Saccharomyces cerevisiae S288C: one gene and its partners. Changing the gene in region 2 together with the main gene of any one other region gives a genetic interaction. Each region holds a gene or a part of one and is shown on either strand. Other genes may lie near its edges.

Evidence for each region. Genes that interact genetically often act in the same process or in processes that back each other up.
Region 1: mutations in LSM7 (region 2) and REX2 together harm fitness more than expected from each alone (negative genetic interaction), as found in Saccharomyces cerevisiae (3 studies listed by BioGRID).
Region 3: mutations in LSM7 (region 2) and LHP1 together harm fitness more than expected from each alone (negative genetic interaction), as found in Saccharomyces cerevisiae (4 studies listed by BioGRID, with this or other methods).

The regions. Positions count from the first base shown.
Region 1 is NC_001144.5:259,238-263,021, reverse strand, and holds REX2 (Rex2p), read left to right. Parts: upstream 1-2,474; coding exon 2,475-3,284; downstream 3,285-3,784. Other genes in the region: FRS1 (phenylalanine--tRNA ligase subunit beta), read right to left, coding at 256-2,043; glycine hydroxymethyltransferase SHM2, read left to right, coding at 3,621-3,784. UniProt on the Saccharomyces cerevisiae protein: 3'-to-5' exoribonuclease specific for small oligoribonucleotides.
Region 2 is NC_001146.8:347,704-353,338, reverse strand, and holds LSM7 (Sm-like protein LSM7), read right to left. Parts: upstream 2,400-5,635; coding exon 2,382-2,399; intron 2,286-2,381; coding exon 1,956-2,285; downstream 1-1,955. Other genes in the region: MPF1 (Mpf1p), read left to right, coding at 1-519; MFA2 (mating pheromone a), read right to left, coding at 809-925; YNL146W (uncharacterized protein), read right to left, coding at 1,322-1,624; YNL146C-A (uncharacterized protein), read left to right, coding at 1,759-1,953; ALF1 (Alf1p), read left to right, coding at 2,668-3,432; PGA2 (Pga2p), read left to right, coding at 3,583-3,972; RPC31 (DNA-directed RNA polymerase III subunit C31), read left to right, coding at 4,818-5,573. UniProt on the Saccharomyces cerevisiae protein: Component of LSm protein complexes, which are involved in RNA processing and may function in a chaperone-like manner. Component of the cytoplasmic LSM1-LSM7 complex which is involved in mRNA degradation by activating the decapping step.
Region 3 is NC_001136.10:361,823-365,279, reverse strand, and holds LHP1 (tRNA maturation protein LHP1), read right to left. Parts: upstream 1,329-3,457; coding exon 501-1,328; downstream 1-500. Other genes in the region: KNH1 (Knh1p), read left to right, coding at 1-212; 1-acylglycerol-3-phosphate O-acyltransferase SLC1, read left to right, coding at 1,697-2,608; PBP4 (Pbp4p), read left to right, coding at 3,024-3,457.

The DNA.
Region 1 (3,784 bases), on a different chromosome or scaffold from region 2:
AAAGAGAAGCGCACTGAGGTGGAAAGGAAAAACAAATTAACATAAATGTATGGATGTATTATTAAATGTACTGATGTTTATCAAAAAAACTGTCTTTGAAAGTTAAGTACAAGCTAAACATTTACTCAGTAGCGGTAGTAATATTATATAAAACATGGTAAACTTTAGTTGTGTTTCTATATATAGATATATATATGTGTCTATCTATCTATATAAGTTTTATAAATCAGTAAAAATTTTTGTTAGAACATTACATTATAGGAAGACTTCGGCATTAACCTCTACAAAGGATGCAGCGAATGGAACGTCGAAATTCATCATGACTTCAGGATGCAAGACACCCAAGTGGCCGATTTGCTTTGGCTCAGCGCCTTCTTTGGATCTGAACATGACCTTGGCACCTCTACCTGGGAAGTAGGTTTTCACAGAATCGTCTTCTTCAATCCAGTAACCTCTGCCAGAAGCAGCAGCACCGTAGTCTGCAATCCACTCTGTTCTAAAAGTTTGCATGATTTTACCCAATAACCCTTGAATGATTTCAAACCCAGAATTCTTACCCACGTAGATGGCAGCCCAGTGACGTTCATTGTACGCCTTCCTTTCTAGTTTGTCGTCTTTAAATACAACGTCACCGGTTTCAAAGACTTTGATTGGCAAGGAATGTTTTCTGTTTTCCTTGACTGTCTTTAAGATACCAGGCAATAAAGTGGTTCTAACAACTTGGTATTCCAAAGTCTTTGGGTTGGCCAATTTGACAGCTAAATCACCATTGTCGGATTGTCTTAGAAATTTAAAGTTTTCATCGTGCGAACATAAGGTCAATGGTAAAACCTCAACCCACGTGGCTTGAGAGGATGCAACTCTGAAAATATCAGAAACCTTGTTGATTGGTAATGGTTTGGCAATGAAGTTGGCATTGGATAATTTCTCACCCTTTGGCAAATTATTGAAACCATAACCGACAGCGGCATCTTCCATTATATCACAAGCGTGCAAAATATCAGGTCTAGTTACCGGAATGTCAACGTGCAAGATGTCCTTGTCTTCCTTTGATTGAACGGCATGCAACGACATCTTCTTTAGACAATGAGCAATTTCATCAGCGGATTGATCTAGGCCAAGACAGGAGTTGATGTACTTAATGGAGACATCCATAATTCTATCGTTGAAGTTTGGCGCCAAACGGGATTGGCCATTGTGTTCAGAGACAATTTCTACAGGCTCAACCGTGAATGGTTCGTCACAATAACGTGAGAACATTGTAGTTAATATGTTCAAAACGATCTCGGCTTTGGTCTTATCGGTGGCGGTTATATCAATCAAAATGTTACGGGTGTTCACAGAGATCTTCGAATGTTCACTATTGATTAATGGTGGCAGGGAGCAAACACGATCTTTGCTGTCCATAATAACTGGGAAGACTGGAGAATCCTCAATAATGTGAACGTATCTCCCTATGTTGTTTTTCTGTTCTGGAGATTTATAAAACTCGATCAATTTGTCACCAGTAAACTCTTGGGTTTGATTCAATGGTACGAACTTGATGTCCTTTGGTGGTAGAGCTCTGTAATGGAATGGACCTTCAATTGAATCTAAATCGTGAGTACCCATGGCAACCAAGCTTCTGTTTCTACATAGATTGGCATGTAATTTATCTTGCAAGGCAATAAAAGAAGCGTAAGATTTTTCGTTAAGCTTGATATTTCTCAATACAGCAGCGGTAGCAAAAGGTCTAATTTGCTCCGTTGATTTGTCGATGATCAACTTAGTGGTTGGCTTGCTTAATTTATAGTCAGGTCTTTCTTTACGTTCCAAGTATTCGTTCAGCGACTGTGAAATACCTTCGATACAAAGCAAATCGTAACGATTGGCACTGATATCAAGCTTCAATTCCGGCTCCTCCCCGGTTTTCAAGGCCTCCTCTGTGGTGTCTTCGTCCATTTCCATACCGAATTCAAAACATAATTCATCGAACTCTTGGGAAGTGTAGTTTTTGCCTAGAAGATCAAATAATTGCTGCTTGTTCACGGAGACGGTAGGCATGCTGGCTCGGTGTTATTGATGTGTGTTATGCTATTCTGCCCTATTTTTTGAACATTTGATCAACTCCAGGCTTTCGAGAAATACATTGAAAATTTTTCATTTCCTTCAATTTTCTTTCTTTTTTGGTACCGATTCTGAATAATCGGTCACCTCGTGTGTCGTGATAAATAATCAAGAAGATGTACTTTTATACAAGGGTTGTAGTCATCTGGGACACTCTCAGAGCACTGGCTCTGACGACAACCATCAAACGCATGCTCATACGTATAATTCAAGCCTTACATACACTGGTATTCCCTTTGGGGTGTTTCTTTTTCCTGTCAAGTTGGGCACTTAAAAGAACTAATAAAAAATCAGTGTGAACTTTTCGATTTGCAAAGAAAATGAAAAAAAAGAAAAGGAGCTTTCACAAATAAACAGAAGAGATCAAGATGAAGTGGTTGTTGTTTCCGGCAAGAATCGTAGCTCGCACTCGCCCAAACCTCTTCTCGCTGTACAGAAGATCCGTTTCACAGTACTTACGTCCTCGAACCATCCAAAACCTGCAATCAATGGCGCAAACACCCGAACTTAAAACCAAGCTGTTCAAACCCTTGGTCTGGATCGACTGCGAGATGACCGGTTTAGACCACGTGAATGACAGAATTATCGAGATTTGCTGCATCATCACCGATGGACACCTGGCACCCGTCAAAGCGGCCGATGGCCAAGGAGACTCGCATTATGAGAGCGTCATCCATTATGGTCCCGAGGTGATGAACAAAATGAACGAGTGGTGTATTGAGCACCACGGTAATAGCGGTCTCACCGCCAAAGTTTTGGCAAGTGAGAAGACTTTGGCCCAGGTAGAAGATGAGCTGCTCGAGTACATCCAGCGCTACATCCCAGACAAGAACGTTGGCGTCTTGGCAGGCAATAGTGTACATATGGACCGCTTGTTCATGGTCCGCGAGTTTCCCAAGGTCATTGATCATCTCTTTTACAGAATAGTTGACGTCAGTAGCATCATGGAAGTTGCCCGCAGACACAATCCCGCTTTACAAGCACGTAATCCAAAAAAAGAAGCTGCCCACACTGCTTATAGTGATATCAAAGAGAGCATAGCTCAATTGCAATGGTACATGGACAACTACTTGAAGCCACCACAGGAAACAGAGTCGGTCGAGTCAATCGGATCTGAACAGCCGGAGTCACCATCTTCATCTACCTCATCTTTGAAAAGACAACGCACCGATTTTTAATGTAGAAAAAAAAAAAGAAAAAAGAAGTGAAATTTTTCAAATATTTCACACACGAAACATGACTCCTGGTGAGAAATGACCCTTTCAGGTTGCTTTGACCATAAAGGTTTGACTCTATCTCTTGGGTTTCTCATGTTCGCTTTTTACTCTGTATAATTTTTAAATTCATAATCATCTTAGACCGAACCATGAGTCTTCTTCATCTTGTTTTATATATAATGCAGAACTTGCTTCCCTTAGTTTGCGTTCAGTAATCTTTCCTTCTTCTAGTGTAACCTTTACGAAAGATACTACCCCATAGCAAAGCATAACAGCTTAAACCGAATCCTCCTTAACATGCCTTACACTCTATCCGACGCTCATCATAAGTTGATCACCTCTCATTTGGTGGACACCGACCCTGAAGTGGACTCCATTATCAAGGATGAAATTGAAAGACAAAAGCACTCCATCGATTTGATTGCTTCTGAAAATTTCACCTCAACCTCCGTTTTCGATGC
Region 2 (5,635 bases):
GAAGAGGATGATGAAGATGGATATGTTGAGGATGATGACATCAATAGATTGGTATATTTGGATGAAAGAGAATCTCGCTATGAGAATGCGGACGTTGAGTACGGTACAATATTCAGTACGAAAAGCTTTTCCGTGACTGGTTGTTTAAATCATGATTTTCCAAAGAAATTGTCACTAAAATGTGGAAATAAGAATCAATCCAGTAACGATTCGAAGTGGGCACCGGCGACACAACTAGTTTCAAGGAAAAGATATATCAAAGACTCATTAAGATGCATCAAACCGTTAACGGAAGACCACCCATGGGTAGGTAAGATTATTTTCAAACCGGCACTGCCACCAGCATTCGAAACGAATAATCCACCTATAAGAGTTTATAGTGGTGAAGATAGTACGGACTTGATGCACGTGAAAAACCATTATTTAAAGCCATACATAGTGGGATCCTGCGGGTTTTTGAAAACTGGCTCAAAACTTTTTCACTTTTACGATAGAACTAACGACCTTACGAATTTATGAAATATATGTGTTTTTAATGATTAAATAATAGTCAAAAATATAATTAAAAAAAAAATCGAATGTAATGGGTGGTTCATCTTTCATTTCCTGCGGAGGGAAAGGCGTATCAGAAAAGAAAAACATGAAAAAATCTGTTAAAGTGATAACTACAAATACATATGTATAAAAGTATGAAAAAGTATGGAAAGGGTGAGCTAATGATGAGAGAATTGGAATAAATTAGTTTGCCAGCAACACGTAATAAATGAAAGGGTAGATATTGATTTGACCTCTTGGTTGTCGTCAAAAATTAAGCGATAACACAGGCGGGATCCCAGAAGAGGCCCTTGATTATATAGTTGTCTTTCTTTTCAGAGGATTTATCCTTCTGAGTGGCTTGTGTGGAAGCAGTGGTGATCGGTTGCATTAAGGTTGGTAGTTATTGTTGTATGAAGATGATAGCTCGCTGGTGTCTCTAGTGATGTCAATGAACGGATGAACGACAGAAGAAGTGGATGGAAATAAAATGGTTATTTATCAGATATTTATATACAAAATTACGTGGTAATGCAACAGCTTTTTCCTCTCGCTTTGTTCTTTTTCCTCTGACATGCATGTTTCATTTTCGTTCCTTATGGCATCCATGTCATGTAAATTTCCCGAATAGGTAAATACATGCTTTTTTAACTTAAAAAATTATGGGCGTCCTATGCATGCACTTAACGGAAAAGGAAACTATCAATTAATTATGTAGTAGATGGTGTACCTATTATTGCATTAGTATTTGTTTCAAATGAAAACATGCTGCTTTAACTTTTCTAATTTATACCATAAACGGTATAGTAATGATGAAACTGAAAAATAAAAAAATAAACAGTCTGGTCTTATCGACCATGTTAACATCATCAAAATCCACCAAGTTTTCCGAGAAAATAGATGAGGGCCTGTTATTATTACTAACTGAGTTTGAATTCTTTTTGTAAAATCGTGGCAGTAGTTCTTGAAATGTCATTTTGAAGGACACTGAGTTTCGAAATATCAACATTATGAGTATGAATAAAAGTGTAAGGATAATGATCCTTTTGAGTTCCATGTGATGAGAAGTGGTATGCTTAGTATTGCTCATACTGGACAAATACGAAAGGAATCAGTAAATAATTAAGATTGTAGAGGGAGGGGTGTATGTGTATGCGGATACTTTTTTGATTTGGCAGAAGGAAAATTGGTATTGGCAGCTGTACAGTGACTCCCCTTATACAAATGATCTCAGTTTGTTTCGTTTTTCCTCATTCTCTGGCTTTAGACTTCAAATCGCGGTGTAAAAAAAATAGGACAAAACTATGTAGCGCATACTATGTCAGTCAGGTATTGAGAATATGTAAAGAAATGCCATACCGTGATTTGATTTTGTTTTCAACTGTAAGGAAGGGAGTTTATATGAGATTATATTATTAAACCTATTTTTGCATATATAGTACATCAGAACCTTCGGCGGAACTTAAAGAGACCAAAATAGTACCTCTTATGACGGTCAAACCTAGCTTTCTTGCGTTTTTAGAAATCAGTTCAGTGTTGTTTTCATCATCAGGATTAGACATATATTCTACTGTATCATCAAGTACCAAGTTCATCAGTTGATCATAGCCTTTTAGGACACCTATAACTAATTTACCACCCATTAATTTGACGCGAATTTTAGAATCTTTATACTTCGCTAAATCCAGAATAGCTTCTCTTTTAGGGCCTTCGAATTTTTTCCTTTGCTGTTGTGGTTTGTTCTCTGATTTCTTAGTTCAAAAAGGAAACATAGTTATTATAATGTTAGTATAAATAAGTCAAAAGGAAGGTTATTGCCACGGAAGAAAATAAGAAGTGAAACATACGGAGTGTTGCTGATGCATGTTTTTTTGGTTAATGTTCTGTGTAGTAAACAAAGTGCTGCTCTCAAATAACTTTCTTTTTTACTGTAGTAGTATACACGTACATGCGTATTCTTAATTGTCGTTTCCCAGTTGTCTGTTTTCAGCTACAGCTTTTTTCGCCTTTGTTCGAAAGAACAGTACTTTTTTCCGGCTCGCAGGGAAACGGCAGTTGAAGAAGACAAGCGACAAGAACATAGAGCAACGAATTCAAATAAAGAGATAGAAAAAAAAATTACATGGCAAAACTATGGTTAGAGTTGTCATAGAGAGTGAATTGGTCCGTACAGAAAAGGAATTACCAAATTCGCTTAAATTAAGGCAGTTCAAGGACCGATTGTACCATGTTACCGGAGTGGAACCAGAGGATATGGAAATAGTTGTGAAAAGACAGTACGACAACAAGGAGATATATAGTACTAAAAAGGGGGGTGCCTATTCAAATGAGGATGAAGATGCCAACTTCCTAAAAGGAGAGGAGGAGCTTATTGTGGTTGTTACAGACTCTAATGCCCAATCAATCTCTAACCAGCTGGCCACGCAAGCGGAAGGAATCCCCTCAATGGAAGTAATTAGCGAGGAGGATTATTTGCGAAGGGATCAATCCGTATTACGATGGAAGATGGCTCACGGCTATGGTAGGTTTAATGCTGCACAGCAGAGCCAGCGCGCTGCGCTGGCAAAGCAGGACGAAGCATATGCCCGAGAGCAATTAACGGCGGCTATCGGCCGCCACTGTCGTGTCACAGTAGACGGGAGCGCTCCACGTGAGGCCATTTTACGGTACGTAGGACCACTACCGTTGGACGTGATGGGCACATGGTGCGGTGTGGAATTCCCGGAAGCCGCAGGCAAAAACGATGGGCGCATAAATGGGGTAACACTGTTTGGGCCTGTGGCGCCGGGTCACGGATCGTTTGTGCGTCCGCGGGCTGTGGAAATTCTATCAAAAGACGAAGAATCCGCCGAGGTGGAAGACGTCCATGATGACGTGGAGAGCGATGATGAAATTTGAATTTGTGCAGAATTAGCGCGGTGGCGGTTTAGTTAGTGATCTCCATCCGATGTCAACATATTATTATTTGTAGTTGTATTTATGTGCACTCGGCGGTTTGTATGAGGAAAAGATGTTATGAAGAGAAAAACTGCCGAGTAATTGAAAGAGATGTCTGAAGTAGCGGAAACATGGGTGGATACCTGGATGGCAAAACTAGTCAACTATGACTACAAGCACTTTATAAGATTGGTGATAATTGTAGGTGGTTATTTACTCTTAAGAAATATCGCATCCAGGGAATTGGCGAAGAAGCAGTTGGCTGCCCAAGTGGAAAAGGACAAACGAGACAAAGAGGAAAAGAGATCAAAAGACCTGATCGACAAGCCAGATGATGCTGCAACAGCAGAAACAACTTCTTTCGGTTGGGGTAAGAAAACTAGAAGAAGAGTTAAAAGACAACAGGAGTTGTTTGAAAACGCTTTGGAAGAGGCTAAGAGAAGAAACCAAGGGTTGGACCCAGATAGTGATGCTGATATTGAGGAACTACTGGAAGAATAGGCTCTCTGTGTATGTATGGGTTCCTCTTTGTCATTGTGACATTGTTTTGTTTTTAGTTTTTCTATAGTTTTCTGATAAAATAGTCTAACCATTACCGATGTTGCTACTTGCATCATTCTCAACGTCTAATCAACTTGCGTTTGCGTCTCAAATTGAGTTTGTAGGTTACGTGTCGCCTTAATAGTCAGCAAATGCCGACGTTTGTGAGACGGATAACGACTGCGATGATTCCCATTCCGCATGAATGATGCAATTCACAATTCAAACACGATATCAAACGACTAAGCCGTGAATTAACGGCTAGAATGCAAAAGAAAATGGGTAAGAATTGATTTATGTAGATACGGCAAGACGATACTTTCCTTAAACAGCCGAGAAACGAAAAGGTTTAAAGAGATGTACTGTGACGTAGAAGAGAAAGGATTACGCAGCAATGGCTTGTCCAAATTTCGTAGTCTAGCCAATTGAAAATATAAATTATTTTCAATACTAATGGGCGGCTTTCGAACAAATGTCACATTGCAGAGGTGATCGTTCAAAGTAATTAGCAGTCATGAACGAGATCTTCTTTTCTCTTATGAAGAAAAAGGCTGATGGTCGACAAGAAAAATCTCAATACAATGGCTACCATTCCACAAAGAAGTGCCTCGCTAGGTGTAACTCAATGAACTGAAATTGCTTTCGTCAGTGGTTTCAACTCTTGTGCGGCCGCATGAAAAATGAAGAGAAATTTGAAAAAATCTCAAAGAAGAAAATAGTTTCCTCATCGCAGCAACCTATAGAAAACAACACGACAGAAAGATATTGTAACTTGATAGTACCGAGCATATATACCCCGAACAAACATGAGTTCTTATAGGGGCGGCAGTAGAGGTGGCGGGAGCAACTATATGAGCAATCTACCCTTCGGATTAGGTTATGGAGATGTAGGCAAAAATCATATTACGGAATTTCCATCCATCCCATTGCCCATCAATGGTCCTATAACAAATAAGGAAAGATCTTTAGCAGTAAAGTACATCAATTTTGGAAAGACTGTTAAAGATGGCCCATTTTATACCGGATCAATGAGCTTGATAATAGATCAACAGGAAAACAGCAAGAGCGGTAAACGCAAACCCAACATAATCCTAGACGAAGACGATACTAATGATGGCATTGAAAGATATTCCGATAAATATTTGAAAAAAAGGAAAATAGGTATTTCTATTGATGATCATCCGTATAATTTGAACCTCTTTCCCAATGAATTGTACAATGTAATGGGGATCAACAAGAAAAAATTATTGGCAATCTCCAAGTTTAATAATGCCGATGATGTTTTTACTGGTACAGGTTTACAAGATGAAAACATCGGACTATCCATGCTGGCAAAGTTAAAGGAGTTGGCAGAAGATGTGGATGATGCGTCGACGGGTGATGGGGCAGCAAAAGGAAGTAAAACAGGCGAAGGAGAAGATGATGATTTGGCGGATGATGATTTCGAAGAAGATGAAGACGAAGAAGATGATGATGATTATAATGCTGAAAAGTATTTCAACAATGGTGACGATGATGATTACGGTGATGAAGAGGATCCAAATGAAGAGGCCGCCTTTTAGTTGAAAATTTATACCGCTTTACCATATTTTTGGATATTCTTCAAAGCAGAATTTGTACAATT
Region 3 (3,457 bases), on a different chromosome or scaffold from region 2:
AGTACGCGACCAGTGAGGTAACGTATTACTACACTTTAAGAAACTCCGTTGATCAACATACTACCGTAACACCAGGGTGGTCATACATAATTACAGCTGATAGTAACTATGCTACGCCGGCCCCTATGCCGGCTGATAATGGCGGTTGGTATAATCCACGCAAGAGACTCTCTCTGACTGCAAGAAAAGTTAATGCTTTGAGGCACAGATAATGAAATAATACAAAAAAAAAATTTATGAAAATGGACAAATCGATTTATTATATTCGTTAACATTTTTTCTGCTTAATTATTGTTATTCTATTTTTTTTTTTTTTTAAATGGATGAGCTGTATTCCATTTTAACCAGTAACGGTAATTTTTAATACTAATAAAAAAAGGAGACAAATAATATAGTATTAGTTGTAATTCATATTGTGTTTCTGTTTAGTACATATGTTAGTACATATATTCTTAATATGCTATGATAATGAGATACGAGAACCAGAAGAAACACAAGAATCACTCCTTGTGCTCCTCATCGTCATCGGCAATGGCAGAAGAGTCCTCTTTTGACTCTTCCTTGCCGTTTTTCTTCTTATTTTTGGGGAATTTAGGCAAGTTTTTCTTCTTATGGCCGTTAAAGGATCTTGATCTACCGCTGAAGTTTTTGGACTTCGAGGCCTCTCTCTGTAAATCAAACTGTTTTTTCGTCAAAACACTCAGTTTCTTACCTTCATATGACAAAATTTCGTTGGACTCATCGTCATTGGAATACGATTTCAAAAAAGCTTCACATTCTGGAATTGTCTTAAATTCCACCAAGACCGTACCATTAAATTTCTTGTTTCTGTGATCTCTTCTCAAACGCACTTGGTTGATTTCACCTAATTTTTTGAAAAAGGCTTCCAAGTTCTCCTGCAATTCAGGAATTTGGGAAGCTTCAACGTCCTCATGTGGGAAATTCATTACAGCCAAAGTCCGTTGGTTTTGCTCAATTCTGGCATTTCTGGCAGCAGTTAGGTCCAAAGGAACACGTCTCTTGACGTTCTCTCCATCAGCAGATACTTCCAAAATTTCAGAACTACGTAGTGCTTCGATAACCTTATCCACTGGTCTATATTTCTTCATACGGTTGAATGTGGCGATGGTGCTGATGGGGACCCATCCATCGTTTTTTTCCGCTGTTGTGCGCAAGAACCTGTCATATGGAAAGTTGAATTCAGAAAAGTAGAATTCCACTTGCTTTAAACATCTGTCCAAGACTTCTGGAGTAAATTCAATCACAGCAAATGAATTACGTCTTGATTGTGGTTTCTCTTGCTCCTCTTGTTGTGGTTTTTCAGACATTACTTCTTTGCAGATGCTACTTTAGTTCCAGTAGAACCAAATAGAACCCATTTTTTGGAAAAAGAAAAAAATACATCATAGCGATGAGATGCGACTCTGTGCTTTTGATTTGGTTGTAATTCAAAAATCTTGAGATATTGCGATGAGGTTGGGCTGAACACATTACACTAAGACGAAGACGAAAATTTTTTCACGGTCACGAGATGGATCTCGTGAATGATGATATCAATTATGCTTCCTTTGTTTTGTTGAGAATATGGTATGGTGTTCAAAATACTTATATTAGGAAGGGTTTAAGGTGAAGGGGGAATTCTTCAATAGAGAAGTTTAGTGGTTTCCCTCCGTCAGTGAATTCGAGCAAAAAAATAATGAGTGTGATAGGTAGGTTCTTGTATTACTTGAGGTCCGTGTTGGTCGTACTGGCGCTTGCAGGCTGTGGCTTTTACGGTGTAATCGCCTCTATCCTTTGCACGTTAATCGGTAAGCAACATTTGGCTCAGTGGATTACTGCGCGTTGTTTTTACCATGTCATGAAATTGATGCTTGGCCTTGACGTCAAGGTCGTTGGCGAGGAGAATTTGGCCAAGAAGCCATATATTATGATTGCCAATCACCAATCCACCTTGGATATCTTCATGTTAGGTAGGATTTTCCCCCCTGGTTGCACAGTTACTGCCAAGAAGTCTTTGAAATACGTCCCCTTTCTGGGTTGGTTCATGGCTTTGAGTGGTACATATTTCTTAGACAGATCTAAAAGGCAAGAAGCCATTGACACCTTGAATAAAGGTTTAGAAAATGTTAAGAAAAACAAGCGTGCTCTATGGGTTTTTCCTGAGGGTACCAGGTCTTACACGAGTGAGCTGACAATGTTGCCTTTCAAGAAGGGTGCTTTCCATTTGGCACAACAGGGTAAGATCCCCATTGTTCCAGTGGTTGTTTCCAATACCAGTACTTTAGTAAGTCCTAAATATGGGGTCTTCAACAGAGGCTGTATGATTGTTAGAATTTTAAAACCTATTTCAACCGAGAACTTAACAAAGGACAAAATTGGTGAATTTGCTGAAAAAGTTAGAGATCAAATGGTTGACACTTTGAAGGAGATTGGCTACTCTCCCGCCATCAACGATACAACCCTCCCACCACAAGCTATTGAGTATGCCGCTCTTCAACATGACAAGAAAGTGAACAAGAAAATCAAGAATGAGCCTGTGCCTTCTGTCAGCATTAGCAACGATGTCAATACCCATAACGAAGGTTCATCTGTAAAAAAGATGCATTAAGCCACCACCACATTTTTAGAGTAGTATATAGACCCAAAAACTGTAATTATCTTTTTAAAAAAGTAAAATGACTTACGAATGATTCTGATGATTTTATTTATTACGACTCATATACCCAGCGTAAGAAGTGATCAATAGACCGCTACTTTATTCGGAGAAAGAGAAAAGAACTTTCCATTGTAATGTATATATAACACCAGGCATGTGTCAAAAATGTGAGACTAAATAGAAAGAAAAATACGAGGAACAACAAATAATACGATCTTGTGCATATTTTTTCCCTTTTTTTTTTTAATTCTTTTTTTCTGAAATTTTTCATTTGTTCACTGTTTAATATCTATCCATTTTTGTTTCCGAATTTTCATTAACTTTATTACTTATTTACGATACAATTTTCCCTTTAATCTAGTACGAAATGACAACAACCTCAACAACCAGTGTAGATGGCAGAACCTCCTCGACTTTGAAGGCTACTTTATCTGCTTCAGGTCCAAATTCAAATGGTCCAACGCCCGCTGTGCTTCCTCAGAAGCCAAAATTAACAGGTTGGGCGCAGGCAGCTGCCAAAGCCCTTCCAAGGCAACAGCAACAGCAACAGCAGGCACGAAAAGATGATTCCGTGGCTGTACAACCTGCTAATACGAAGACTAAAACCATCGCATCTACCGCGCCGCCTGCTAATATAAAGGGTAGTTCCACCGCCAATGGATCATCCACAAATAAGAAATTTAAAAGAGCGAATAAACAACCTTACAATAGAGAAGAAGTTAGATCGTATATGCACAAATTATTTCAGAGCTATACCGCTGGTGAAAAAAGTCATTCAATGAAAACTTATAAGCAAGTACT